3 linked regions of the Notamacropus eugenii genome follow. Each later gene encodes a partner of the first gene's protein in a complex. Links are inferred from orthologs where the notes say so. Each region holds a gene or a part of one and is shown in the gene's direction. Other genes may lie near its edges.

Region 1 (9,420 bases):
ATCAGTGGGCACATCCAGTTTGTTTGTTTTATCACTAGCTGGTCCTAGGTTCTCAGGCAAGTCCCCTCCTCTCTCTGCTCCTCAAGCTGGTCTCTAAGGTCCTTCCCAAGACTTAAATTTAGTCCTCTCTGTTGGGTGCCCTCAAGGCCACCTTAAATGACTACTGTATCCATCAGCTTCTCTGGTGGTCATCGGTTCAGGAGCGCCCCCTGGAGGCAGTTGGCTCTTCACTTGAGGGTCCTGGTCCTTGGTGCTTAGGGTACCACAGGGGAGCCCATTTCGATACCTCTCCAAGAGCTTGCCAAGGTTCAATGCCTATCTCCTCCCAGAATTACATCTTAGATACCTACTCTGAGTATTCCAACCCAGCTAGCATCTCCCACTGCCTCCCTCCATGATGGACCCCATACATTTATTTCCTCCCTCCCAGCTTGGACCCCATAGCCTTCACAGCCTTCTGTCCTTCTCTAGACTAGGAACTCACATTCTACCTCCATCAAATCTGGGCTACTATCTCTGTGACCCCCAGCCAGGTATCCCACACTCTCTACTCCCTCATTGGGATCCAACATTCTGCCACCCTCCAGGCTGGGACTCCTCATTCTGCCCCCTGATTTAGCTTGGGACTCCACACTCTGCCCTAGCATCAAGTTGAGTTTTAGAGATGTCTCCCTCAGTGGCACCCGCTCAATTTGGTTGGGAGAGGTGGGAAGAGAAGTAGATAGATGCCAAAGGGCAAAGCCAATGTCCCCAGTGGCTCCCTGGCCCTGTAGAAGTTTCCTTTCAGAGAGAAGGGTGTCTCCTTTTGGGCAGAGACAATTAAATTTGACCCTGAGGCCAGAGAAACTGAGATCCTGCTTCCCCTCCCCCAACGCCCCATCCCTTTCCTCTGGGGGTCACGTGAGTTCCCATTATTACAGGATTCCAGGGAAATAAGCCACACACTCAACCTTACACACTTACCTCCTACTTTGGGATACTTAACCATCTGTCCCCCTCAAAAGAGGGACAGACAAACACATCACACCTCTCTGGTCCCACCAGAACAGCCATCACCATGTCTCTGGGGTCCCTGGCATTTGGGGCCCTGGGTGAGGAGGAGGAGACCCTGGACAACTTGAAGGCACTCACTGCCAAATTAAATCTACAGACCAGAAGGCCCTCATACCTCGAGTGGACAGCCAGGGTCCAAAGCCAAGCCTGGCACCGAGATCAGGCCAGGGCTGAACTGCGGGAACCAGAATCTGGAGCCATTTGTGGTTTTCACACTCTGGATGACGCCTTGCAGTGGCTAAGAGAGGAGCTGGTAAGTCTACGGTGTGGGATAGAGAAGAGTAGTTCACTGTCAGGGAGCCCCCATCTAAGGGAGAGACACACAAAGGGAAGCCCCAGCTGAGGAGGAGAATGTAACCTTGCCCTTACAATTTCAGGATTTGGGGGCAGACGCCCTTTTGGGACAGGTAGCATGGGGCAATGTATGTGAAAAATATTGTCTTCTGAGCTAGAGACCTCATTCAAATCTCTTCCCCTGACTGTGGAACCTTGGGCAAATCATTTCACCACCCTGGGCCTCAGTTTCCTTACCTGTCAAGTGAGGGACTGGATGATCTCTAAGTATCTCTTCCCTCTCTTGGTCTATGATCCAAAGTTCCCTATGGACTTAGGGGAGGCTGAAGTCTGGGGTGCAGTGGAGGTAAGGAGAGAGAAGGCCTTGTCCTCAGTCATGCAATATTCAATAAAAGAGTGGGGCTCCCCTTCCCCTAGGCTGATTCCTTGTACATAGTAGATGCTTGATAAATCTTTGTTGACAGACAGAGATGAGTCCCTGAGTCTATTCAAGAGGCTGGGAAATAGCTCTGTTAGTTGGAAGACTTGGGTCCCAGTCCCAACCACTCCCCTCCCCTGACGGTGGAGAGGAAGTACTTTATAAATCCTCCAAGGCCATAGGATAGGAGTTATTATTATCTTTCCTGGAAGAGGAGGAAGAGGAGAGGAGAGGGTAGTGCTGGGCTTGAGAGGAAGGAGGAGCCAGGAAGGGCTGAGCTGGACTGAGAGGATCAGGGTCATAGAATGTTGGCGTTTCAAGTTGCCTAGGCACAGGATAGAGACACCTCTGCCCACAGCCCAAAATAAAGGGCAGGAAGCCAGGGCCCTGAATCCCCAGCCTCAATCATTTCCCCCCAGAGGCAGATGCGAGCCCAGGACCGGGAGCTGGCAGGGCAGCTGTTGCGCCTCAGGTCCCGAATGCACCAGCTAAAGGTGGAACAGATCTGCAGGCAGCACCAGGAGCTGTTGGATGATGCTGAACTGGAGGCAGAAGCTGAGTGTCTAGGCTTTGGAGAGGCAGCGGAGCTCCTGAGCCCAGGCTCTCTCCGGCCCACTCGCCTCCTGGCGCCCCCACTCAGGGACATCGGCCTCACCCGGATGAACATCAGTGCTCGTCGGTTCACCCTCTGCTGAGCAGGCAGGCCCTGCTGCACACAGCTGAGCATCCTTTGCTCTCCCACAGGGGTGTCCCACCCTAAACCTTGGTGCTCTGCTACCCCTGATCTGAGGGATGCAGTCACCCAGGGCACAGAGGGACCATAACTCACTGCCTATAGAGAGGGAGAGAGCTGTTCAGCCTTCCCAGAGTCAGCTCTCCAGCTACCTAGATCAGGAGTGGGGAACCTGCCTCTAGGTCCTTAGGTGTGGCCCTTTAACTGAATCCAAACTTCACAGGACAAATCCCCTTAATAAAAAGATTTGTTTGGTAAAACTTGGACTCAGTCAAAGGGCCGCACCTAAGGACCTAGAGGGCCACATGTAACCTCAAGTCCTCAGGTTCCCCATCCCTGACCTAGATAAAGGAGTGCTCTCAGGGCTTGTAGTAGGAACACTCACACTTTCTCAGGCTTTCCAGCAAACAGACTCCCTGGTGTGATCTAGTGCTCCATGTCACTGCAGGAAAGATCGAGGACACCAGGTGTGCATGTTTTTGAGGGAGGAAAACATGTCTCTGACCCAGAAGTCCTCAACTCTTCTCTTTCATTTAGCTCTGTGTCTGTTCTTTCTCCTGTCATCTGGTTTTTGGCTTTTTTTCCTGTGTGTGTGTGGCTGTCTGTTTCTTGGTCTCTGTTTCTCAGTGTATTTCCATCTCTGTCTCTCTTTCTGTCTCTGTCTCTGTCTCTCTCCTCCCTCCCCCTCTCTCTCCCTCTTCTCTCCTTCTCTCCTCTCTCTTTTTTGTCTCCTCTTCCTCCTCTCTCTCCTTTCTGTCACTCTCTCTTCTATCTCTTAAACCTCTTCTTTCCCCCCTCTTTCTCTTTTCTCTCTCTTCTCTTTCTCCTCTTTCTTCCCTTCCCTTCTCTCTCTCCCTCCTTTCCTCTCTCCCTCCCTCCCTCCTTCTCTCTCTCTCCCTCCCTCCCTCCCTCTCTCTCTCTCTTTCCCCCTCTCTCTCCCTCCCTCCCTCTCTCTCTCTCCCTCTCTCTCCCTCCCTCTCTTTCTCCCTCTCCCTCTCCCTCTCCCTCTCCCTCTCTCTTTCCCTCTCTCCCTCTCTCCCTCCCTCCCTCCCTCCCTCTCTCTCTCTTTCTCTCTCTCTCTCTCTCTCTCTCTCTCTCTGTCCCTCTGTAACTTTTGTTTCTGCTGTTCACATCTCTTTGTCTTACTTTCTGTCTTTGGCTTCCTTTCCCTCCCCCATTTCCTGCCCTCCTCACCCGCCTCAGTTGAGGTGAGCAGAACCAGCATCAATTTCCACCTTTCAAACCCCAACAATACGTCTGCGGCATCCTCTTCTGCTGTCCCCATCCCCCTCCCCTTTCCTCACAGCTTGGCTCAAGGTGAAGGGGTGGGAGCTGTTTGTGTCGCAGGAATGGGTCACTCTAGTTTGGTTCAACCATGGCAGGGTTCACTGGGTCTAGCTGGGGCACAGTCATCAGACTGTCCATCTCTGCCCCTTAAGGAGCTGGTGTATGAGTTTGGATACCCATCTTCTGTTGGCAGTGAACCTAGATGGACATCTTTCCCACAGCATTGCTAGGGTCCACTTGGTGTCACCAAAATAAAATGTTGAAAGGTCCTTAGGGACCATCTAGTCTGAAGGAAGTAGGGTGAGACAGTGGAAAATATGTGGATTTTGGAATCAGAGGACCTGGGTTCAAATCCTCGCTCTGCCACTGACTACTTGGACAATCTGAGACAATTCCTCTGGCTCTGTTAGATTGTAAATTCCCTGGAGGCGGTGCTGTCTTTTGTTTCTTTTTATATCCGCAAGGTTTAGCATACTATCTGGCACGTGGTAGGTGCTTAATAAATCTTTATTGACTGACTTGTTGACCGTTTCCTCATCTTTTTAAAACAAATGGTTTGAATTAGATGACCCATGTCATCTTTCGTCTCTAAATTTCTGATTTCTATTTCCTTTATCTTGCAAAAATGGAAAAGGAAACTCTGAGACAAGATCACACATCAAGCCAATGGCAAATTGGTCTATGTGGAGGAGGGGGTGGGGATGGAGGGGGAGATTACTCCCCTTTGTGAGTCCTCCCTCACCCCCCACCTCTTCAGCCCATGGGCTCCCATGGCGTCTTCTTCACAGAACCCCAGACTTTTCATTCTGAAAAGATCCTTAGGAATCATCTTAGCCTGTGGTCACCAGACTACCATGGGATGGATACATGACCACATTTCCCAGGGGGAGGGAAGAAGGGGTACATGAACTTGGATGGGAAAGAACCATCTTTATTTTTTACTACCCTCTAAGTGGAATTTATCATTTCCTTCAATGATGATTAAAAATGCAAATTCTGAGAATTTCCATAGGTTTTATCAGTCTTCCAAAGAGGTCCATGACACAAAAAATGCTAAGAAGCCCTGATCTAATCCAATCAGCTTATTTTATAGAAGACAGCCCCAGAGAGGGGACAAGACTTACCCAAAGTCACACAGCTAACAAGTAATAGAGATAGGGAGGTATTCTGGGTCCTCTGACTCCGAATCCAGGGCAATTTCTACTTCACCATCAAATGCTCTCTATGGTGTGTCCCCCTCTTTCCCCACCCACGGATACTAGGAATTCCCTGGGACCCTCTGTGACCACAGCTCCCTACTATCAGGCCCCTGGATGTTGGGAGGGGTGTGGTTGGCACTGTTGTTCTTGGCTTGTGGTTGAGGGAGGGCCTGACTGGGGTTCTGGGGTTGGCTGCCGCCTTCTTTCTCACTCATTCTCTCAAGAGGAGGCAGGAAGTTGGGGTTGGACGTGGGCTGGGTGCTGAGAAGGCAAATTGAGGCAGCGACAAGGAGCTGGGAGCCTCATCCATCCTCTGGGTGGTGATGGGGCCTCTGAACAAGAAGGACCATGTGAACCAGGCTCAGTGAACATATCAGGCAGGTAAGGAAAGAGTGCACGGGGCTTACGGGAGCTTCCAAAGGGAAAGGTCAGCAGCCCCTAAGGTGAGGGCAAGAAAGACCAGAGAAGGTCTTAAGAGAATTTCAGACTTCTGTCTATCTGGTCATTGAGGAAAGCTAGTTTAATAAGACCTGTGACATTAATTGATGGGCACCCTGACAAGCTCTGTGGGTGTCACAGTATCACTTTGCCATGGGGCACACGGGCATTGGCCCTATGGACAGGCCCCACAGTGACTCTACCCTAATCCCACAGATTCCCAACTTGTCTCTGAGGACCCCCCTGACCTTGATACCACCCCATGGGCACTCCAACAATAGTCACACAGTCACTGTGATGCAACCCTTGGACATCCTGATGCCAGCTCCATACATAGATGCCCTGGGGGCAAAGGTTACCTCCTCAAAGAATGGTTTGGGGAAGTCCCTGAATATTGACTGGGTAGCAGGGGAGATGGATTTGGAGACAGAGGAGCTGGGTTCAAACCAAACAGGGACGTTGTCACAAGAGTGACCAGGAGCCAACTGCTGGAGGGAAGAGAACCAGAAAGGTTCTTATTGTATCTAGTGTCTTGGGAGGGGAGTAGATAATAAGGTGGAACCTAAAATGACCCCTTGTCTGGATCGGGTGAGACTAGATGCGAAGAGTCCTTTGGGAATTCCCCAAGTGCCTTATTAATGAATATTTGTAGGCTCCTAGAACTTGGTGACCGTCTAGTCTAGTTCAGACTGATTCTCATTTGGTAGAATCTAAGACCCAGAAAAGAGCAAGGAGTTGCCACATGGCTAATTAGTGGCAAAGATGAGGTTACAACCCAGGCCTCCTCATTTTGTCCAATGCACTTCTCCCAATGTGGTAAAGGGAGAGAGGATTTAGATAAGTTGGATTCAAGTTTTGCCTCTGACATTCATTTCCTTGTCTCTTAACTCTTCTGGGCTCCAGTTTCCTTAGTTGTAAAATGAGGGATTTGTGTCAGAAGGCCCCTAAGCTCTCTTAGTTCTCGATTCATCATCCCGGAGGCAAGAGGAAACCAGAGCTTTATTTTCTTGGGTCATTTGGATGAATGGAGGAAAATTCCATCAGGAAGCTTAAGGACTTGATGGGGTCAGAATTCTGTAGGAAAGAGAACCAGGCACTCCAGTGACTTTTGCTGCCAGAGTTCTCTGTGAGAGGGAAAGGTTTATCCGAGCTTCCTGGATGCTCATGTCAAGGAAGATTTCTGACGTGGGATTGAGATTCTTCATGAAAAGACGGCCCCAAAGGGCCAGGCAAAGGAAGGGAGGAAAGGAAGGAAGAAAAGCTATTTTAAATTGGTGTGGGGAAAGGATGAGGGGCATGATTGGCAGTGGGAGCTTGACCCTGGAGTTCCTATGGAAAGTTTCCTTCTCCACTGGATGCTGGCTAAGGAAGTCTTGGGACCAAACCTCCTAGGGCCTCAGAGATTTAAAGTTATCTGATCTCATCTGGGCCTTACAAGCTGTGTGCAATCCTTTTGATTTTCTATCACCTTCTCTTAGTGGCCTTTCGAAACCTTCCTCCTTCCTCAACCTTTTTACCCCACCAAGGACAGTCTTAGCAGAAGCCACAGCCTGCTACCTTACTGAGAGTTTCATCATCTCTCTCCCCTGGGTGAGGCCTAACTTCAGAGAGGCTTGCTGTCTAGACCAGTTGAACATTGGCCCCACACCCATGATCATCATCTGTCTCCTAAGTCAAACCAAGAGAGAACTCTGGACAGGTCAGGAGACGTGGGTTCAAGTCTGTGGTATAGAGGAAAGAGTATGAATCTGGAGTCAGAGGACCTGAGTTCAAATTCCCAATGTGCCACTAACTGCCTCGGATGAATCACTCCTCATCTCTGGAGCTCAGTTTCCTTTTTTGTAAAATGAGGGAGGTTAGACCCAATGACCTCAGGGTTCTTTCCAGTACTAAAAACTAATCTGTGATCTGTGTTCCTAAGCCTCACCTCTGTGACTACTCTGATCATCTTTGAACAATTCCCCCACCCTTTCCTAAGGCTGTTGTGATGGAAAAAAACCAAACACCTTCCAAGTCTTGAAGAAGCAAGATGAAACTTCAGGGGATAGAGGGCAACAATTTGGGGTGCAGGGGGAAGCCCCCTCTCTTACCCATTCTTCTGAAGTGCCACCTGCCTTGGGGCGCTCCCTGCCTACTCTCCACCCCCACTGGAGTTTTCTTCAAAACACAATTTCCACAGAGATATAATATAACTTGGGGACCTGGAAACCTGGGTCTGAGTTCTGCTTCAGACCTTTAGTAGTCATCCAAACATCGCTCCTCTGGGAGCCAGGCTGAATTTCTTCACTGATAAAATGGAGATGAGAGTGCTGGCATAAGAAAGCAGTCACAGAGATGATGCCTCATAAACCACAGAAATATGGAAGGGACAGTAGTTTAATGGTGCCATTACTATCGCCAATAGTATTCCTCTCCCAAGTTGGGGATAGGGGCAAAAATGACCTTGTACGGAATTTTTTGAAGTAATGTATCTGTTCATGTGTGTTTGACATGGGCCTCTCTGGGGATCCATGATGGGGAGAGCAGCAGACTTGGAGGAACAGGGCCTGGCACCCAATCCAAGCTCAGCTGTCTTTAGTTTCTGGGAATCTTTAGGCAAAACCCTCCCCTTTTTAAGGGCTCATTTTCCTTATCTGTAAAATAAGGAAGTTGGACAAGGGCACCGTTAATTTCCCTCCTCACTCTAAGTCTAGTAGTTGATGGTCCTGTAATATTCTATGTTCTAAGATTTCTTCTGTCTCTGAGACAGTGGATTCTAAAGCCCCTCTCAGCCATCAGTAAGTCAGTCAACAAACATTTACTAAGTACCTACCATGTGCCAGGCACTGTGCTAAGTGCTGGGGCTACAAAGGAAAGCAGAGGGTCAGCCAAGTGATCAGAGTGCTGGCCCTGGAGTCAGAAGGACCTGATTTCACATCTGGCCTCAGACACTTACTAGTAGCATGACCCTGAGCAAGTCACTTAACCCTGATTGCCTTTCAAAACAACAACAAACAAAGAAAGAACAAAGAAAGGAAAAACAAAATTCCTGCTTTCAGAGAGTCATAGTTTATTCTGGGAGACAAGATGCAAATAACTCTGTACGAACAGGCTACATATAGGATACAGAGGAGATAATTAGCAGAGAGAAAGCCCTGGCATTAAGAAGGATTAGGAAAAGCTTCCTGCAGAAGGTAGGATGTCATCTACTACTTGAAGGAAGCCAGGAGGTGGAGATGAGGAGACAGCCAGAGAAATGCCTGGAGTCTGGGTGTACTAAGGACTTTCCAGATTTTGCTTTCTCTGTTCTAGGTTCTGACATTCTATGTACTATGAATCCTATCAGATGGGGCAGGGGGCAAGGTGAGTCTTTAGTGATAGGGGTAGGGATTGGGGAGAAGAGCCTTCCAACTGTCATCCTCAGTGTATTGAAGAGACTAAGTTGGGGGGCAGTGGAACTTGGTTCTGTTGGGACCTCAGGCAAGACAGGGCAGGACAGGGCAGGACAGGGTCACAGACTTTCCTCCCTACCTGACTGAAGTCCACCATCCCAGCTACATTCCTTAGGGTTGGTGGTACCTTCCTTGGGCCTGAGTCCCCTGGAAAGGTGGGAGAACCAGGTCTCTGGGTGTTAGAGCAGCATGAAACACGGCTCTCAGAGAAGGTAGATGGAACAGGAGTAGGACCCTGATGCAGAGGGAAGACTCTGCCCCCCATCTCCACCCCCACTAAGAGCAGGGCTTCTCTTCTCCCTCCCCCTTCACATGTGCTGCTACTAGAGGCCTTGCTTTGCACCTGAAGCTGCTTCCTGTGTATATTCTCTGAGAACACTCAACATCAGACTGGGAACCCTCCAAGATGAAAGCAGCTGAAGGCAAAGGGTTCGAAGTGCCAGCAGCTCTCACCTAAGGGCATTCTTTTTACAAAGGAGCACACACCTCAGAGTCACACACTCTCCTTCCCAAGCACAGGCACATGGACTTACAAATATGTAATTGCTATATGCGTAACACGTAATT
Region 2 (10,252 bases), on another chromosome or scaffold:
AGTTTCCTCATCTGTAAAATGAGAAGGGTTAGATTAGGTGGGCTTGGATGTCTTCTCCAGCTATAACTATGTGAATCCGGTTAGTGGTACGATTATTTTTGTATGTATACAATTGATTTTCTACTAGACTATTAATTTTCTGAGAACAGAAACCTGACCTTAGTTAAACTTTGTCCTCTTCCTTGGGACGAGTGAGGTTCTGCTCATGCGGGAGCTATTTAGTAAACATTTATTGAACTGAATTTGCCTGGGATCATACAATATGGGAATCAATGAAAGGAAAAGGAAATATTTAATCTAGAGAACACTTTGCTTGGGCTGGTGGTGGAGAAAAGTGGGGGATTACTATATGTCTTCAAGTGTTTTTTAAAATAAATTTTATTTTTTTTTTTGTTTTTACACCACCTAATATTCTCCCCATTTACTCCTTTCTCCTCCCTTGCAGAGAATCATCCCTTATAACGAAGAATTTTGTCTTCCAGTGTTTGAAGGTCTGGCATATGGAAAGAAGGATTAACTTTTTTCTGCTTGGCCCCAAAGTGAGTAGAAATTACAAAGTGGCAGATTTCAGCTTGAAGTAAGGAACTCTTTCCATTGCCAACCCTGTAAATAATGAGAATTGTCCAGAATTGTATTGAACTACATCAGAGAGTAGTAGGAGTCTTATTTCTGGACATCTTTAAGCCAAGACTGGCTAGCTACTAACTAATGGTGTGGTAGAGGGAATTCTCAGCCTAGAACAGGACCTAGATCAATAACCATGGAGTCTAGAGTTAAAGATGATCTTGGAAGGCGTAGGATCATAGATTCAGAGCTAACAAGCCCTTAGAGGTCATCAAGTGTTCTACATGAGCCCTTTCCTCATCCCTCCAGCTACTTAACACTCCCCCCACCACCACTATTATTTTGTACTTATCTGTTTATCTTGATGTATTTTTCACATAGTTACAATACTTGTTGTCTCCCTCAATAGAATATAAACTCTTTGATGGTAGGGGACAGTTTCCTTTTTGCCTTTACATCCAAATCACTTAATGTGGTGCCTTGCACATAAAAGGTATTCAGATTTGTTGATTGATTGAGTCCAAACTTCATCTTACAAATGAGAAAAGTGAGACACTTTGAGGTTAGATAGACTGTCCAAGGCCACAGAAATAATAAATGCAGAGCTGAGATTAGAAACCAGGTCCTCCAAACTCTACACACTGCATGGTCTCCAGTGCCCCATGATACCTGAGACTAGCTGAAAACCCTCCCAACTCTGAGTTTCTGTGATTCTCTACATTGACCTGAATGTTATCCAAGCCATCAGTCTGTCTCATGCAATTTGGTTTTGTTTCCCCATCACGTTGTGTCCATGGTCCTATATGGGTCTTGTGAGTTCATCTGACTTGGGAAGTGAAAGACTTGGCTAAGTCCACATCTTGGTCTGCAGTGTGTCAGGGTCTCCATGCACAACTTAACAGCATCTGCATGCTTCTCACAGGGAGGAAGTCACTGTGGTTTTGTTGAAACCCCACTGAGATCGGCACAAATATCATTGGGGTCATGAAACCACCTGGGTGGGATTGACACCCACCTTTCGAATTGTGCCCCTCCACTGTAGCTCAGTACAAAGAGCCTGCCTGGGCTCGACTGCCTTTTCTGAGCTCAAAGGATGGAAGAAACCCTAGGCAGCTGCAGCTGGTTTCCTGGAGGCTGATACTTGGATGTCTACTTTTTCATAGTGTATTACCATCCCCTCCCCATCTCTCACCCTAGGCATCATAAAGAATCTTGATTTTTTTTTAAGTAAGTTCAATTACTTATTATTTTGTGGAAATGCAGGGAGTGTTGAAGAGAGAGTAAAACAGTGTGGGTCAGTGAGTAGAATGCTAGACTTGGAGTCAGAAAGACATCTTGCCTCAGGTGCTCAAATTGTATTGCCCTGGGCAAGTCACTTAGAGGCTCTGTGCCTCAGTTTCCTGAGCCATAAAATGAGGGGATTGGTCCTGATTCCCTCTAAATTGATGACCCCACAACTATGGGCAAGTCATCTAACTCCTCATGGTCTCAGGCAACTTTCTAAGGCTATGTTTTACAGAGTAGCTTGAGATCTGCATTTGGTAGAGGGAATTTCCAGATTGAGACTATCCCACACCCCTCCCCAAAAAAATGGCAGGTTTCATCCAAAACCAAAGCGTATTGTTGTTTTCTGTTTTTATGTCATAGTCATTTCTTTATCCACCACCCTACCACCCACCAAAGCTCTGATGCCTCTCTTCTAACAGAGAAAAACAATTTAATGAAGTCAACCAGCAAGATTGCTGGTCCAACAATGTAGACCAAATTTCACCCCTAAATCTTCCCATCTTTCCACCAAAAGGAGAGAGATGTGTTTTCTTCCGGGGGCTCCTGGGCAATGATGGTCATTACAATGACAGAATTCTGCTTCTCTTTGTTATTCATCTTTATACTACTGTTGACCTTGGGTAGATTGTTTTTCTGATTCACACTGAATCCAATTGCTTAACTCCATCAATGAAATCTAGGATTTCATTGGCAACTTTGATCCAGTCAGAAAAGAGACCGATCCAATTCACTTGTGGCCGCCTAACAACAAAGGACTCCTGCGGTTGCTTGGTCCTGTAGAACCCCATGAGAGGCAGCCAGAAAGTGCCATTAAGAGAGAGCCAAGACCTGAACTCCAATCCTGCTTGAGGCTTAGGAGCTGTGTGGCCCTGAGCAAGTCACTTAACCTCTTTCTGCCTCAGTCTTCTCATCTTTAAAATGGAGGTAATACTAGCACCTACCTCCCAGAGAGTTAAATGAGATTATGTATGTACAGCACTCTGTAAAACTTAACATGCTATGTAAATGTGAGCTATTACTTTTCCTTTGATGACAGCCAGGCAGAGTGCAAAAAAATCCTGGATTTTGAATCAGAGGACCTGAGTTCTAATCCTGGATCTATTAATTACTACCTCAGGTCCTTGGTCGTTTCATCTCTCCAAACCTCAATTTCTTCATCTGTAAAATAAGAGGATTGGATTTGACAGTAGTTACGGTCCTTTCCAGCTCTAAATCCTTTAAATTCACTACCAGAAGAATGAGGAAGCCAATGACTTTGCCGTTGGTTGGTAGCTATGCAAAAACTACTGACTTAGATGGTTTTCCAATCATCGTCATTTTCACATATGCATTTATGAATTCAATCAATAGACATTTATTAAGTACTTAACATTTCCAGTGCTCCAAGATGGGCACTGGGAGAGATTTTAAAAATTAGATAAGAGAGGGTTCTTGACCTAAGGTGGCTTATAATACAGCAGTAGGAAGTTAAGACCTACGCATGACATATATTAAAGTCATCGGACTTTTCTCAGTCGCCCTCCACAAACAATGGTTGACAAATCTTATTCAACCTCCACCTTTCTCACCCACAAGCCAACCCCTATAGATCTCCAGCTCTCTTAGACTATGACAATAACCTCCTAACTTTTTACTTCTCTCCTCTCCAATTCTCCGTCTCACTGCATTTAAACTGATATATACCTAAAGCACAAGCATGATTTCCTTGCTTAAGAAACTCTAATGGCAAAGACTTACACGAACTAATACAAAATGAAGCTAGCAGAACCAGGGAGACATTGTTAACAGCAACATTGTGGGAAGATCTGTAAATGGCTTAGCTATTCTCAGCAATACAATGATCCATGACAATTCCAAAGGACTCAAGATGAAAAATGCAATCTGTCTCCAGAGAAAAAATTGATGTTATCTGAATACAGACTGTAGCATCCTATTTTTCACTTCCTTCCTTCCTTTTTTCATTTCTTTCTTTCTGAGCCTTTTTGAACAAAATGATTAATACGGAAATGTTTTACGTGATTGCAGACGTATAACCTATATCAGATTACTCACTGTCTCGGAGGGAGGGATAGAATTTGGAACTTACAACTTAAAAAATGTTTTTAATTGTTTTTACATGTAACTGGGAAGAAACAATAAAATATCATTTAAAAAATAAATGAAAATAATACTGTACCATATAAAAAAGAAACTCCAGTAGTGTTTTTGTCTTATCTCCAGAATACAATGTAAACTCCTCTCTGTGACATTATAAGGCCTTCACACTCTGGCTCTAGCACACCTTCCCAGACATCGTTTTTTTCTCTTTGCACACTCTATAGACCTATAAATCATTTCCCTGTGCATAGCCTGCCATCTTCCATCTTTGGGCATTTGCACCTGTCCCCAAACCCTGGACTCCACCAGTCAGCAGCAATGACACCAGTTACCACTAATTACCATTCAATATTCATCAGCATTCAGAGAAAGGAGAGATCAATCCAAAATGGGCTGGAGAAATCCAGAAAGACTTCCTCTAAGAGATGGCATTTTGGCTAGGCCTTGAAGGAGCAGGATTTGGATAAAAGGGGATACAGGAGGAGACGGTCCAAGTGAACAGAGACCCAGAATGAGGAAAGTGTATGTTATGCCCAAGGTAAGGAGATCCAGATCACCCCAACTGGAGTAAAAGACTCCTTTGCGGGGAAAGCCCGTTATAATATTAATAATAATATATAATATTATAATAATATAATTATAATAATATATCAAATTTGATGATTCCATGATTCTAAATAAGAGCTCTGGTAAAAGTGTGCCTCTTCCAATCTCATTCTAGCCTAAAGGAAAGCTCCTAGACCTGACAGAAAACATCCCTAGGTTTTACAGATCTACAAACACACACAGAAGTTATTAGACTTTTAAACCCTGTCATCCAAGAGAAACAAGAATTTTATCTGAAGCCACAGCTACTGAAGACCCAGAAAAGAAAGTTCTCACCACCAAAGTGCTTGGCGATGCCAAATGGCTCAACATCAGAAATGGATATGGTTTTATTCACGAAAATGACAGAAGTAGAGATGCATCATCACCCAAAAGGCTGTGTGGTCTTTCCACTTGACTTGCAAATGAAACCTTCTAAATGTTTTGTCTCCCCCATTAAAAGAAGCTCCTTGAGATTAGGGACTGTGTTACTTTTTCTATTTCTATTTCTAAAGGAGAGGATAGTGTTTGGCACATGGCAGTGGGTAAATATATAATTTGCTCAGTCAGTCAACCCCTTATAGCATCCTTGAGAAGAGTCATAGTAAGTACCAGTCATTGCATCCCTATGCCATTTGTAGAAAGGAAGACATTAAAATCTAAACCCTATACTAGGAGTAAAGGCTGAAACTATGATCCATTGCACATAGCAGGGACTTAAGAAATATTATCATCTAACCTCTGAGGTAATGTAGTCCAATGGAAAGTTTAGATTGGGAGTCAGAGGATTTGACCCTTACTAGCTCTGTGACAGAGCAAATCACTTAACCCTTCGGCCTCTGTTCCTCCTCTTTAAAATGAGGGGAGCTGGACGAGGCCTTCAAGGCTCCTCTTGCATCTCTAAATGGATGATCTTCTAGAATAGGATTTCTGAACTTTTTTTGAGTGTCATAGGCCTTTTGGGCATCCTGGTGAAGTCCATCGAACTCTTCTCATAATTACCCTTGTTGCCTACTTTCGTAACTGAAGGAGATGCTAAGTTTCAGTTAGAGGCTAAAAGAAATTGAGAAGTTACCTCCCCCAAACCCAAGGAGGTTCTGACATACTGAAATCTACTCATGGACCTCAAGTTAAGGACCTCTGCTCTGATCCAACGTTAGTAGTCCAAGGGTACCATTATACACTTTCCTCTCTTTCTCACTTCCTCTCCCTTCTTCCCCTTGAAGACTTTGTAAGGAAGTTCCACGCAAATGGGACTGTGCTTCTGCTCCTGGCCCACCCCAGCCCACCCTCCGGAGGCCGTGTTCTGTGTATAGTTAACTTTCAACGAGTGTTGGTTGAATTGAGTTGAGCATCTCTTCTCTCCCTTCCTCTCCATCAAGTCAGCTCACAAATTAAGGGTAGGCCTCTCCAAACGATTTCCGCACACACATCGCAAGCCTTCCATTTGCCCCTTTCTCCCGTTGCCCATGAAAGATGTCCTGGGCTCCAGACTGGATCCAATGGATGATTCCGAAGGATTCCCACAGCTCAGCCCCATATGCTGCCCTCTTTCCTTCTCTTTCCCCTTACTTTCCTCAGCTCTCCACCACATGCAGGTGGGAGGTGGCCAGCTCAGGGAGAGTGATTTTTTTTTTCTTTTTCTGTGGGGTATCAAATGACATCACATCCTCCGATCTCCAAAGAGCAAGAGAGAGAAGCTTCCTCACCCTGGGCCCCCCTTCTCTTACCTGGAGTTGCCCAGCTTTCCAGCTCTAGGGAGACTGCTCACCGGCCCTCCGGCCCGGCGGGAAGTAGCAAGGGAGCTAGGGATGGGCTCCCTCTTGGCTGTACGATCCCTGCTCCTGCCGCTGGCCCTACTGCTCCGTGAGTAACCAACAGGAGCCCAGAATCTGTGACCTGGCCGGGGTCCATCCCAGAACATCCCGGCCAATGCCAACCTGGAGGTGGAGGGGAGGGAAGCATTCCGGGCGTTCGGAACCCTGAGGGAGCAGCCTGGTGGTGTGGGGAGTCCCAGGCAGAGGACCATGGGGCTCTAGCTCTTCTGCCCAGTCTCTTGCTCTCTCCTTCCCAGAGTCCGTCGGGTCCCAGGCACAGCTGAAATTCCGGATGAATCCCCTGGAGAAGCGGGACGTCCGGCCATCCGACAAGGTGCAGCTGCAGTGCGAGACGCTGAGCAGTTCGTCCACGGGATGTTCGTGGCTGCGCTTGGCCCCTGGAAAAGTGGTCCCTACCTTTCTGCTCTTCATCTCGAGCACTAGCTCAAACGCGAAGCTGGCCGAAGACCTGGACCCCAAGCGATTCCGGGGCGAAAGGATCTCGTCTTCCACATACCGCCTGACCCTGCAGAACTTCAGAGAGGAGGACGAGGGCTACTACTACTGCGTGGTCACCCGGAACTCGGCGCTGTTCTTCAGCCCCTTCGTGCCGGTCTTCTTGCCAGGTCAGGGTCTGGTCATCCCTGGGGTCCGGGGAGGGTTGAATACCGGGCTGCCCCTACCTCCGCGCGCCCGGGAGAGCGCATGGATGCACGCACGGGTGCAGTAGAGGTGGGAATTGTCCCAGGCACTCCCGAGGCTCCCATAGGACCGGGATGCGGGGCAGCCTCCCGAGCAGCGCCAGAATACCAGTGGGTAGTCCTGCCCCCAGGAAATCAAGGCATTAGGGGAGAGCGTTCAGGGCTGAGTGACTCGGAACATCTTGGGTACTGAGGGTTAACAGAATTCAAAAAATCTGGGCTTCACTTTCCTCTTCTGTAAAATGGATGCATCTAAGATTCCTTCTACTTACACATCTTTGAACCTTTAATACATGCAAAGGGTTGTGCAAACCTTGGAGTCCTAAATGAATGTGCACTGTTATTATTAGAGACATCAGTAGTTCAACTTTCCTTAGTATCACCAGATCTCCAGATCTCCCTCCCCACCCGATCCCCACTAAATTGAAGGGGACCCAGATAGACCCCATGCACACATTAGGAGAAAAGTTATATAACAACTTCAATAATGATAAATGCTTGACATTAAGATAGCCTTTTAAAGTTTGGACCTTGTACCTTTCCGACATAAAGAGAAAGTATAATGAGTGGAGGCCCTGTGGCGAACTTAAGGGAGGACCAGGACAGGCGTGGCTCAGGATGAGTAGGCATGGGTCGGGTTATAATCAGCATCACAGAAGTCAAAGTTCTAAAATAATGAGCTCACGCCCATCTAAGTATTCTAAAGTTCCGAGAGTATTTTTTGTGTATCATTTCATGTAACTAACTGAGGTTAAGTACCACAGATGTCATTACCCCTCTTTTTAAGATGAGGAAACTGGGGCTTCCATTGATTTTCCAAGGTCATATACCGAAGTTAGCTAGGAACAGGACTAAGCCCCAGGGCTTCTGACTCCAAGCCCCAAGTGGTTTTCCTATTCTCTCCACTCTCAGAGAGTGCTTCAGAGAGGAAGACTGAGACCCAGAGAGGTCCAGCAACTTGCTCAGAGCAGGATCCAGATTAGAACCCAAGACTATTTGACCTAAAATTCATCCAGTGATCTCTTGCTCTTTGCTCCCAGAGCATGCTATTCTGCCCCTGGGTTTTTAAACACAAGAATACACACACACACACACACACACACACACACACACACACACACACATATAATATGGATAAGGACAGATATATGGATGACTCATTCATAGCAAAAAGATAAAAAAATCAGCCTCTATACCTGTAGAAACACAAAGGCCCTGCTCCATCCCTAGATAGTGCCAACCTGTCAACTGAAAACTGCAAGAATTGACTCCATTTCTTTTCTTGTCTTATGAATGGTGCTGAGCGCATGGGTGCTGGCAGAAATGTCCTCCATTGACCGATGGAATTGTGCTAATGTGTCCTTTGCTCCCAGCCTGGGGAGAGTGTTAGAGAGGGACTCCTGAGCAGGACTTGGGACTGTTTGGCTCTGCAAAAGGATAATAGATGCCCACTGCCCTATATCTCTGCATTCAACTGAGAATAGAGGGCGAGTGTTTCTTGCCTGGGGATAAAGATCAGAGAGAGAATGATTTGTACTTTTAAAGGATGGGGAAAGATTAAGAGGTGGGGGAGCTATACAGATCAACTTGATTCACTCTCCTCCTTTTTGTCTCTGCCCAGTAAAGGCTACCACCACCCCTGCACCCAAACCCAAGACCACCATTCTTCCAGCCACCATCAGCACTTCCACCCAGATTTCTGAAAACTGCAAGCTTACCGCCAAGAAACAAGGTGAAGAAATAACTCCAACCTTCTCTCTTCTCCCAACTTCTTAGTCAAGGGAGTTCCAGCCTAACCCTGACATCTCTCACTGCATTTGGAGGGTGATGCCAACCTAGCACTATAGTTGGAGACCCTGGACCAAAAACTTGGACTTCAACCACCACGTACATCCCCACCTCTATCTGCTTACCCTTTCCTGTCTTCTATCCCCCTTCTCAGAGCCCTCAGTGCTGCCCTAGCAGGAAGCAAAAGACATTCGCAAATGAAGGGCATGGGGATTTCAACAAATGTTTTATTAAGTTCTTATTATGTGCAAAGTACCACATTAGGCAGTAAAGGTTAAAACATTGCTGCTATGCAGCCTCTGCTCTAAAGCAGCTTATAATCTATTTTGGAGTAAGGGGAGAGAATGGTTAAGTGCACTTTTTATCACAGTTATGATACAAGTCAGAGTGAGATCAGTCCATAGAGGGGCTCTGCATATTAGAGGGTGGGGTGACTAAATTACTTCAGGGTGTGGAGGGTGGGGAGAGACTGGTAGGAAGGCTTCTTGGAGGAGGTTGTGTCTGAGTTAGCCTGGAAGGAAAAGAGATTTCAACAGATGAAGGCAGGAAATGTGGAGGCTTCTGTTCCAGCCTTGGTAGAGATGGCCTACAAAGACCCACAGAAGGGAGAGTACAACACGAGGAGGGATGGTTTTGACTGTCAGGACCAGGAGTTTATCCTTTATTATGTAGGCATTGGAGAGTTTACAGAAACAAGGACAATCACACTGGGAAGTGAGAAGTGTGTCCTGCTCGGTTCCACCACTACTGAGGAACAGGGTTCCTTGAGAAGAAATTACCAGTCCTTTTCTAAATTCTAGAGAGAAGAATATCTTTGGCCAGATAAGATGCGATAAGACAGAGTTAACTAGCAGGATTCCCAGAGAGACAGGCAGGCTGGGGACTGACCCTGGGTCCCTACGACTCAGAGGGAATTCCTATTTGGTCTCCTGGATTTTGTCTTCATTCTGGTGGTGCTCTCCCAAATCCTCTGCTGACACCCAGCTTCCTGACAAGGTTAGGAAGACCAGGATCTGACATGTCTCATTGAGTTTCCCTCTGTTTTGTGTATACAGGAAAGAAGGGATTGGATTTCTCCTGTGACCTGTACATCTGGGTGCCCCTCGCTGGCGTCTGTGTTGTCTTGTTTCTGGCCCTGATCACTACCATTACCATCTGCCAGAGTAAGAAGCAACCCTTCCTTCCATACCTATCCATCCACTTCCAGTACACATTTCCTCCTCGCAGAGCAACTGCTTGGTCCCCAGAACTCCAGAAGCATAGATATGACTCCCTCACTCCATCCCCAAACAGTTCCCTTGGGTCCATAATGCTCCCCACTGCATCATAGAGTGTTCTTCCCCAATGTTAAGCAGCTAGTGGGAGCTGAGAGTTAAACCCATGTCTTTTGATTCCCCCAAACAGGGCTCTTAC
Region 3 (10,014 bases), on another chromosome or scaffold:
CTATATAGAATGTACTGAGAAAAGGGGCTTGATCCTAGATGGAATAGAGAAGTAAGAACAGCCCCTACAGATCCTCCTGAACCTGTGTATCCAAGCTGTTGACTTGTTTTTCATGATTTTCTCAGATCATTTTCATTTCTCTTCCTAATTCTTCCTCTACCTCTCTTACTTGATTTTCATAATCCCTTTTGAGCTCTTCCATGGCTTGAGACCAATTCATATTTTTCTTGGAGGCTATGGATGTAGGAGTTTGACTTTGTTGTCTTCCGAGTATGTGTTTTGATATTCCTTGTCACCACAGTAACTTTCTAGAATCAGAGTTTTTTTTTTCAGTTGCTTCCTCATTTTCCAAGCCTAATTACTTGACTTTTAATCTTTTGTTAAAGTGGGCTTCTGCTTCCAGGGTGGAGGTGCACTGTCCCAAGATTTAGGGGTTTTGTGCTGCTGTTTTCAGAGATAATTCTAGTGACCTGAAAGTTTTCAGTTCTTCCAAGGTAGCATGAACTGAGGAGAGAAATTTACCACTTTCCTGACCTGTGTTATGGTCTAGGAATGACCACAAGCACTCTTTTCTGTCCTAGAGCTGAAAGAAGGTCCTTGCTCTACTGTGGCCACAAGCTCTGCTATGCTAATGCTCCTCCTTGCCCTGGGATTTCTACCCAGGACTGGAACCTGGATCTGAGTAAGGGCAAAGCAACAGAGTCCTGCCTCAGTGCTAACAAAGTGTCCTCTGCCTGACTTCTGACCAGTTCTTTGACCCCCTTACCATCAGTACCTCTGGAGGTAGTTGCTGCTGCTTCCACTGTTGATTCAGTAGCTCCGAGGGCTTGCCTCTTATTTGTTGGCCAGGGCTGTACCGGTTCAGCCTGCAGTGAACTGCATTCGACTCTTACCCTGGTGCTACAGACCTTTCCTGATGACCTTCTAAGTTGTCTTTGGCATCTGTGGGCTCAGAGATCTGGAAACCACCACTGTTGTTATTGATTCAATAGCTCCAAGACCTGCTCCAGGTTTGCTGAGGCTGGGTCTGTACTGGTGTGGCTTGCACTGAACTGTGTTTCCCCTGTGACCCTGTTGCAACAGACCTTTCCTGCTGACCTTCCCAGTTGTCTTGGGTTGGAAATTTGTTTCACTCCATCTTTTTGTGGGTTCTGCTGCTCCAGAATTTGTTTAGAGTCATCTTAAAGGGTTTTTGGAGGGGCTTGGGGGAGAGTTCAGGTGAGTCCCTGTCTTTGCTACACCATGTTGGCTCTACCTTCAGGTTTTCCCTTGAGGTTTGGGGAAAGATGCCAAAACTTCCTCAGCCTGAAAAAGAAAAAAAGAAGAAAATGCATTTATTAAGTGCCCACCATGTGCAAGTCACTGTGCTGAATGCTTTATAAATATCTCATTTGATCCTCCCAACAACCTTAGGAGGTAGCTGCTATCATTATCCCAATTTTACACTTGAAGAAACTGAGGCAGGCTGAGGTTTAGTGACTTGCCCAAGGTCACACAGTAGCAGAGGCTGGACTTTAATTCATGTCTTCCTGAATCCAGGACTAGTGCTCTATTCACCTTGCTACCTAGCTGTCTCTGGAGCTGCCTATTATGGAAGGGGATAGTGGGAAAAGAAACCTGTGGTCCGTGAACTGTGCTCAGGAAATGGAAAAAAACAAGTTGTTGGCTCTTTTTAATAAGCCCAACCCAAAGAAGGTAGTTTCTTCCATAACAATCCCAGCCAATCAATTCTTTCCCAGTCACTGAGACCCATCTTCCATGAGGTGCCAAAGAATATGGTCATACTTTCCGTAGAAAGATGTAGTCAAAGGCTAACCATCTTGTAAGCTCAAGTTGATTAGGCGATTCCTTGGGCTAGAATAAGCAGATCCCAGGCCCTTTTGAATACACCAAACAGGCCAGGGGATATGCTAATGAATTCATCAATCTTTCTAGCTATTTCTGGCTTCCTTCCATGACTCCAGTGGGGGAGTCTAACCAGCATGTATCTAGTAAACTGGAAGCAGAGTGAGCATCATCACTCAGTAAGTTAGTAAGGTCCTCAGACACTCAGACACTTTGTCCAGCCCCTGAACCTTCCATTTTGAGATCTGACTGCCAAAGGACTAGTCAGGGGGAGACTGAAACTGAGTATCCTAAAGCATGGATTGAGAGTTAGGCCACTGTGGCTTCCTCTCCCTCAGTGCAAGTATATTTTTTTAAAATACAGGGTTCCCTCACAGGTCAGAGTCACTGGGCAAAAACCTATTGCTTCCTGTCCTCTCCCAGAGAATGAGCATCATCTCTTCTGGTGGGGAGCGGGGCAGTTTGGGGATGAGGAAATCTTTCTGAGGACGTGAGGAGAGGGCTCTCTTTGTTGCATTCTCCCTCATGACTGACAGTTTCTGCCACAGCTGCAGGTGTCAGCTGCCTCAACCATGTGGAGATCTTCTGCATTCAACTATTCAGATCTATAATGGGGGAGGGGTAGGGAGGCCCTAAGAACAGGGAAAGTATCAAGTGCTGTTCAAAAGGAGGTGTATGTTTGTGCTGAGGGAAAAAAGTCAGAATTTGAGGGAATCAGGATCAGCTCTTCGTGGTGATGCTAAAGGAATCCTCCCCATCTGTCCCAGTCTTAGCCATCATCTCTCACTCTAGCCTTTACAGGGGAACTTAGGCAATGCTACTACCAAACTGTGTTTGGTAAAGAGTCAAATACAGACAGCTGCACAAGAAGGCCCTTTACTTTATCTCCTGACAGGTTCTTATCTCCTCTCTAACAGCCTAAATCTTGAGCTTGAAAATTCTTTCAGTTAGCTGTGTCAATGTTAATTGAGGCCCAAGGAAAACTTGAGGATCTAGGAGTAGGGTCCACTCTCTGACTTCTCCCACCTTAGTTTCCAAACCCTTTTGTTTTCTCCCATTTCTTCCATCTTGGAGCACCATGAATCTTCAAAATTAGTAGTAATGAGGCAGTAGTCCGTTATTAAAAAGTTTCCCAGAAGCCCTGGTAAAAGCATTCTCATATCTCCCACCTTCCAGGAAAAGGAAGCAATCAATATATTCTTTGGTCTACTTAGACAACCTGTGATGAAAGAAGTGAAGCATCAGGTCCAGAAAGGTCCTCTGGACCCCTCGTGGGATGGCCTCTACAGAGTGGTTGGGTATGTTAACTATGAAGCAACTTCTTGATGTGACTGGCCTTGTTGACAACCTTTCTGTAAAATGTAAAAAAATACTAAGTCAGTTGGCATATCATCATATAATAAGTCCACAGGCCCATCATTTACCCTGGGATAGTTCTAGAGATGTTCCTAACTCCTTTTCTTATTCCCACATGCCTATGTTCCTCTCTTCCTAAATTCTCATTTTCCTGGAAGCCCAGTCCAAATGACACTGCCAATGTTTTTGCAATTTGGTAGAAATTCTGATAAATGTAGTTTCTGTTCTTCATTTGGTCAGCTTTTCCCTTGACTCAAGCTATTTCATTTTGACATTTCACTCTGAGTCCTGAATACTGAGAGGTCATGAGGGGTGGGGACCCAAACTAGGGAGATGACGTGAAGGGTTAAGCTAGGCCCAGGAGTTTGGAGAGTGCTTCACTGACGGATTTCCTGTCTTTTATCACTCCATTACAGTCTTGACAGATGGCAAAACCCTTCCTACTGTATTTCTGGGTAAAAAGCTCCAGGTTCTCATGAGGACACACCTGCACGAACCAGTGGACCAGATATTGATCAAGAGGGGAGGAAAAAAAAAGGCAACTTGAGGTAAGATAGATAGGAGTTCCACTTCTCATTCACAGGTCAAAGGATTTAAGTAGGTAAGGGAAATAAGAAAGTATCATCGGATCATAGATTCAGAGCTAGGAAAGCCCCTAAAAATGATAAATTTACCCTTTCTCCCTCACCCTTTTATAGATAAGGAAACTGAAGCCTGGAGAAATGGTGAGGAAACTGATGAAGATGGAGGATCAAGGACTTTCCAGGGCAGGAGAGGCAAAGAAAGAAACAGGAGATGAAGGGGTGATAAAAGGGAAAGAAAAAATAGGAATTAAGATTGAGGAGGAAGGAGGTAGAGAAAAAAATAGGAATGGTAGGGCAGGAGAAGGTGCAAATGAAAGACACAGAGTGGTGAGGAGAGAGGAGAGGAGAGAGGAAGAAAGGAGAGTCACTTGCTTCTATCGCCATTCTTTCTGGGTTTTGGAGTGGTAAAGATGACATGTCATAGTGTGGTGAAGACACTGATGGATTGAAATACTGATGGATTGGGATTCAAATGTTATTTACTACCTTTGTGATATTGAGCAAAACACTTTATTTACTTTTCTAGGTCTTCAATTTCCTTTCCTATAAAATGAGGAAGTTTGTAGGATCATAGATGCAGAAGTAGAAGGGGCCTTAGAAGCCATCTAATGGAATCCCCTCATTTTACAGACAAGAAAATGAAAGACAGAGAGGTATTAAATGGCTTTTGACTAAGTTCAAACAGGTAGTTGGTAGCAGGGCCAGCTTATGAATGCCAAATCCCTCACTTTCCACTGCCTCCTTTGGACTAGATGGTCATAAACAGCTCTCCCAGCTTTCAATTCTGTGATTTTAGGCTTCTTCCCCAGCTGGTTCCTACAAAGCAACAGCTTTCCATCTCTGCTTCCTAATTCTTTCGTCAAGACTGAAGCTAGCTCAGTCCCTGAGGCCCTGATACTCTTCAGTTCCTCTCCTGACTCCATTTAAAAAATTAACTTTAATTTTTTTTGTTATTCTGAAGTTGAAAGATCATGAATAATTACCAATATTTTCATGAAAAAGAGGATTACATGTGAAATCATGAATCTATTATATATACTAACTTTTTTAAAAAAGTACAATAAATTCGACATATTCGTTTCAAAGCTATTGTTATGCTTGTCCGTTTCTCCTTCAGAACCTCATTCTGTTCTCTTCTATGATTTAAAAAATGTTACAATTACCTTTTTTTTTGGTCTTCTTTCTTTTGGCATCAGGATCAAGAGTCCCCCTCTTCTCTTCTAACACTCTCCTCCATTTAACAAAACACCTTCCCTTATAACAAATAAGTCGTATCATGCAAAACAAACCTACTCTTTGGGCATTTCTGGAAATGTACATCTCAGTCTTTTCCTGAAGTCCCCTACTTCTCTGTCAGATGGTGGTCAGTATGCTTGCTTCATCATCAGTCTTGCCTTCTTTTAACAGGCTTATTCTGGAGGGAGTCCAAGGAGAATAAGTCTGTTCTTGAGCAACAAGGAACACCCATATTCCCTATTTCGGGGTTCTCTCTCATTTCAATTAGGTCTACTCTGCTTTTACAATAGGGTCAGGACTAGGACTTAATAGCCTAGGGTTCTGAATCTACCTGAGATGAACCCCTGGGCAGAACAAAATGGGGGATTGGAAAGTACAGAACAGGGGAGGCAGGGATTGGAAGTAAGTATTTCATCTTAGGCTCATTTTCCTATGAAATGCTAGATTTTTGTCCACTAGACACAAAATGGCTGCTATCAGGCCTCCCCTGTCAGGGTTAGAAACTCTTTAGAACTCTTCCCCTTTGCTCCCTCTAGAAAAACCAAACAAAACACAGATGGGGGGTGGGGGTGGTGGTAAGCAAAGGTGGGGAAGCAGAATGGATGGCTCCCTTGAGTGGAGGAGGTCAATTTGGAGGTTATCTTAAGTACAAAATACCTCTGGCTTCAAATGGAGAACCTTTGAAAAAGAGGCCCCTCTGAAACGGTAGCCTGGGCCTTGTTGCTAAGGGAAGGGGAGATGGAATGGTTGGCAGACCACAGGATGGGAAACCAGATTCCTTTGCTGAGAGGCACAAATCAGGTGGGGGTGGGGGACAGCAGGGCTGAGGGGAAGAAGGAGCTGATCTCTGCACGGCTCCTCTGGGGACTACGTAGGGTATGAGGGGGTGGTGGTGGTGGTGGTGGAGTTGTACCCCCCTCAAGTGGGTGTCAGAGTCAAAGGAGAGGATGATAGAGGTTGCAGCAACTAGACCACAAAGATCCCTTCAGAGGGATCGTGGTGTTTAGGAAGTTCACTTAACTGTAACCAGTAAGGGGGAGGTGGTTGATATTGGTGTGTGAGGGAAATGGGGGGCACATCCTATGGTAGGGGTAAGGGGGTAAGTGGGTGGTCAGAGGGAGGAGATAAAAGTGTCTGTGGGATCATATACAGATGCTGTGGTGAAGTAGAGCCCTCTTTCTCTCCCCTAAACCTGCTCCCTCCTTCTCCCAGCCCCAGAGGTTGGGGACATAGTGTCAGATAATCTGGAGAGCTCTACTTATGTGTACAAATATTTCTAAAAACATAAACGTGTGCATTTTATTATCTCTTCTGTTTCCTTGTGCTCTTTCTACACCTTTCCATTTTAGTCCCCATTCTTTATCTGATGATCTTGGCCTCTACTTTCTGACTTTTCCCACCTTAGTTTCCAAACCCTTTTGTTTTCTCCCATTTCTTCCATCTTGGAACACCATGAATCTTCAAAATTAGCAGTAATGAGGCAGCAGTCCATGATTAAAAAGTCTCTCCCTCCCTCCCTCCCTCTCTCTCTTTCTCTCTCTCCCTCTCTTTCTTCTTCTTCTCTCTCTTTCAGCTTCTTTCTGTTAGTCTCAATTGCTCTTGGAGTGTGTGACTGCGTGGGGCTTGAGCATGCATTGTGTGATGTATGTATGTATATCAATTGTTTTAATGAGCTGCTCTGGGGCTCTCTATCTTTATCTCTCCCTAGACTTCCTTATTTCTCTCTCCATATGTCCCTTTGTTCATGTGCACCCCCTCCCTTTGTTGCCTCCCCTGCCCTCTACCTCCTAGACTCATATCTGAATGGTGGAGTTTTAAGTTGTTGTTGTGGTGGTGGTGGTGGTCTTTGTTTTCAGTTCGAAGACCTGTTTCAGATCAAAGCTTACCAAATGTCTGGGTTCCTGCTAGGGAACAGGATGGTGTTTACAGACAAGTGAAAGAAAGAACAGAGTGGCAGCCAGAGATGAGGTTGCTAAGAATGGAGCAGAGGGGCTGGGAGGCGCAGCCTCTTGAAGTATGAGACAGAAATGCAGTCGCAGAGAGTTCTAGGTATCAGTATCATAAAGCATAGATACAGGCAGATACACTCAGGGCCATACAGGGAGATCTGTAGAGACCCTGGGCTAGATACACCAAAGCTTGTGCACACACCTCTCACAAGGGGTGAGGAGCGCTGGGGCACAGGATGTCGAGTCTGTCTCCATGGTGGCTGGTGATTGTGAGAATCAAAGACCTCTCTCTGGGGCCTCCCAGGGTCAGCGGAAATGTGAGCTCCAGGCGCTCAGCAAAGGCAAACAAGCAGCTGGAAAACCTTAGCCTCTGGTGAGCCCTGGACCCAGAGGTGGGACAGAAGAGAAGACAACCCCTGCACAGATCCGGGGAATATGGGCTCTGTGGTGGGGGAGGAGCAGGTTTAGAAAGAGAATAGAAAATGCACCCCCCACTCCAGAACGGGGAGGATTTAGGGCTGAAAGACAATAGCCCAATATGAAAGGAGGCAAGGAAAGAGGCAATCTCCAAACTAGAAAGTCCTTCCTCCCTCCCCCACAACCTGTCTAGCATCCAATATCCATCCTTCTCTCCTTCATCCTGCCCCAGGCCCCATTCTCAGTGCTATACCAATTTTACAAATGACCTACTTTCAGCCCTTCTCAACTCTCATTTATTCATTTGGCAAATGCTCATTCAGTGTCTACTATGTGCAAGTCTTTGTGTACCTGCATATTCAACCTCTTCTTGCGCAGAATAGTTGTAATATTTATTTTTAAAAATTTTTATTGATATCTTTTGTTTTTATATCATCATTTCCCAATAAGTTTCTCCCATTCCCCCATGCAGAGAACTAACCCTTCTAAAAAAAGCGATAAACAAAGGGAAAAAGCTGTTTAGCAAAACTAACCAACACATCAACCAAGCTGGCTGTTACATACAGTATTCTCCATCAATAGTCTCCCACCTCGGCAAAGAAGGTAGGGAGGTACATTCTCATATCTCTTCTTTGAGGTCAAGCTTTGTCATTATAATTGCATAGCAATAAGTTTCTTTTCTTATATTTTTGTAGTCACTATGCATATTGCTTTCCTGATTCTGCTTACTTAAGTTTGGATCAGTTCACTGTCTTTCCATACTTCTCAGTATTCTTCAAATGAATTCTTTCTTACAGTGTAGTAATATCCCATTATATTCATGTACTACAATTTGTTTAACCGTTCCCCAATTATAGTCCATTCCCTTTGTTTGTAATTTCCAGTAAGGGATTGGAGAGGGTAGATGGTCCCTTATGGGTGTGGGTGGATGCCCAAGGTACCTTTGCCAGCTCCCACTCTGCCCTGCTTATAGGCTTCTTTCCTTGCTAAATTTTTCTCCAGGTTCATAAATAGTCTAGCAGATATGAATCATAATGTCCACAAACTTTAAATCAGGATCACAAAGCATTTAAAATAAGGTATGTCAGGCCACCATAGAACTTGAGGCAGGGAGAAGGAGGGTGGCAGGTTTTTTATTCCTCCCTTTTATCTTTACTAGTTGGTGGGGGAAAGGGAAGCAGGAAAATTAGAGAAATAAGCTGTGGGTTAGGCATCCTTTTTACCAAGCTCTGTCGCTTCTGGTTCTCAGTGAGTTTGATTTTCCTTTGTTCATGCCCAGTCTCACTTCTGTAGTTCCCTACTTCAGGTAGCATAAAGGCCAGTATATTTGTCACAATTCCTCTGAGCTTGACAAAGAGAATCATGACCCATACTTCCTCTTTCTCCCTGGAAAGAAGTTCCCTCAAGGCCAAAAGTCCCCCAGCTCAAATTTAAATTTAAGGAAATGCTCAGTAATGTTCCTGTTACATGCATCAAGACTTCGTGGTACGATCAGTTCATTTTTTTCAGCTTCCTCCTCAACCCAGCTGTCAGTCTCAGTCCCTTAGCACCTTCTCAGAGAAGTGTGAAGGAAATGGTTTACATAGAATCGCAGAAATTAGAGCCTAAAGGATTTTATATACAATCTAGTCCAACTCTCCTCATTTTTACAGATAAGGATTATGAAGTCTAAAGAAATTCAGTGACTTGGTCAAGGTCACACAGGTTAATTAGTAGTAGTGCTAGGATTTGAACTCATATCCTCTGAGTACATAACATTCCCTTTCAATGTGGTTGATGTTTGTTCATGAATTAGGATGAACCTGGTTCTGCTTGGACTTTTGTCTGTTCCATGTCAAGTGCATTCTCAAGGTCCCAAGATCCATAAAGAGCAATCAGAAAGCCATTTCTCCTATTCTAGAGTTTGGAAACAGAGAAGCCACTAATTTCCCTCTTCTTGCTATTTCCTTACCCTCAACTCTCCCCCTTTACTTCCTCCCCCTAACCAGGTTCATGCTACTTCTTTCCTAGAACTGAGGAAGTTGGGGGTGGTGAAATGTTTGGGGCAGGGGGAAGTCTTCTAGTAAGGAAATGCAGGGGTGTAGGAAGGATACAGAAGTGGAACAGTGGAAAATGGAGATGGCTGACAGAGATCTTTTCTCTTAGGATACTGATCTGGCCACTCTTGTGTTTGTGTGCACGTATGCGCCCACTTCAGTTCATTGGCTGCCAAAATGATCTTGAAAGTGATGTACACTATCAGCCAAAACCATTCTTTCAGCTAGGTTTTTTTTTTTTAACTCTTTTTGGGGGAGAAGACTTGGTGTGTTTGTTCATTGGGATGTATCTGCTGTGTCGAAACAAATAAAATACAAGTATTTTTAAAAAGAAGAAAAGTGCATCTTTAAAAACATTTTTAAAAAGTTAACAAACATTTATTTTCTCTTCCTTTTAACCCTTCATTGAAAAACAAAATCCTTGTGACAAATATACATAGTTACGCAAAACAAATCTCCTCACTGGCCATACCTAAAAATGCATGTCTTGTTCTACGTCTGGATTCTGTTACTTCTCTGATAGGAGGTAAGTAGCAAGCTTTGTCACTGGTACTCAGGCATCACAGCTGCTCCTTGCATTGAAAGGATTTC

Evidence for each region.
Region 2: the proteins of LCK (region 1) and CD8A are in contact, whole or in part, in an NMR structure (PDB 1Q69), measured with the Homo sapiens proteins. The link is inferred for Notamacropus eugenii from reciprocal best matches to the Homo sapiens genes LCK and CD8A. Residues at the interface, in NP_001036236.1 of Homo sapiens: Cys20, Asn22, Cys23, Tyr25, Pro26, Ile27, Val28; in NP_001139345.1 of Homo sapiens: Arg212, Arg213, Val214, Cys215, Lys216, Cys217.
Region 3: the proteins of LCK (region 1) and CD4 are in contact, whole or in part, in an NMR structure (PDB 1Q68), measured with the Homo sapiens proteins. The link is inferred for Notamacropus eugenii from reciprocal best matches to the Homo sapiens genes LCK and CD4. Residues at the interface, in NP_001036236.1 of Homo sapiens: Glu15, Ile17, Val19, Cys20, Asn22, Cys23, Tyr25, Pro26, Ile27, Val28; in NP_000607.1 of Homo sapiens: Ala429, Arg431, Ile435, Leu438, Leu439, Lys443, Thr444, Cys445, Gln446, Cys447.

Annotation. Positions count from the first base shown.
Region 1 is NC_092876.1:77,611,645-77,621,064, reverse strand, and holds the start of LCK (tyrosine-protein kinase Lck), read left to right. Parts: upstream 1-5,210; 5' UTR 5,211-5,365; intron 5,366-9,420. Other genes in the region: protein FAM167B, read left to right, coding at 1,058-1,306, 2,185-2,460. UniProt on the Homo sapiens protein: Non-receptor tyrosine-protein kinase that plays an essential role in the selection and maturation of developing T-cells in the thymus and in the function of mature T-cells. Plays a key role in T-cell antigen receptor (TCR)-linked signal transduction pathways.
Region 2 is NC_092872.1:725,236,396-725,246,647, forward strand, and holds the start of CD8A (T-cell surface glycoprotein CD8 alpha chain), read left to right. Parts: upstream 1-6,202; 5' UTR 6,203-6,344; coding exon 6,345-6,399; intron 6,400-6,607; coding exon 6,608-6,976; intron 6,977-8,672; coding exon 8,673-8,783; intron 8,784-9,894; coding exon 9,895-10,002; intron 10,003-10,252. UniProt on the Homo sapiens protein: Integral membrane glycoprotein that plays an essential role in the immune response and serves multiple functions in responses against both external and internal offenses. In T-cells, functions primarily as a coreceptor for MHC class I molecule:peptide complex.
Region 3 is NC_092874.1:195,111,731-195,121,744, forward strand, and holds the start of CD4 (T-cell surface glycoprotein CD4), read left to right. Parts: upstream 1-5,492; 5' UTR 5,493-5,764; coding exon 5,765-5,822; intron 5,823-10,014. UniProt on the Homo sapiens protein: Integral membrane glycoprotein that plays an essential role in the immune response and serves multiple functions in responses against both external and internal offenses.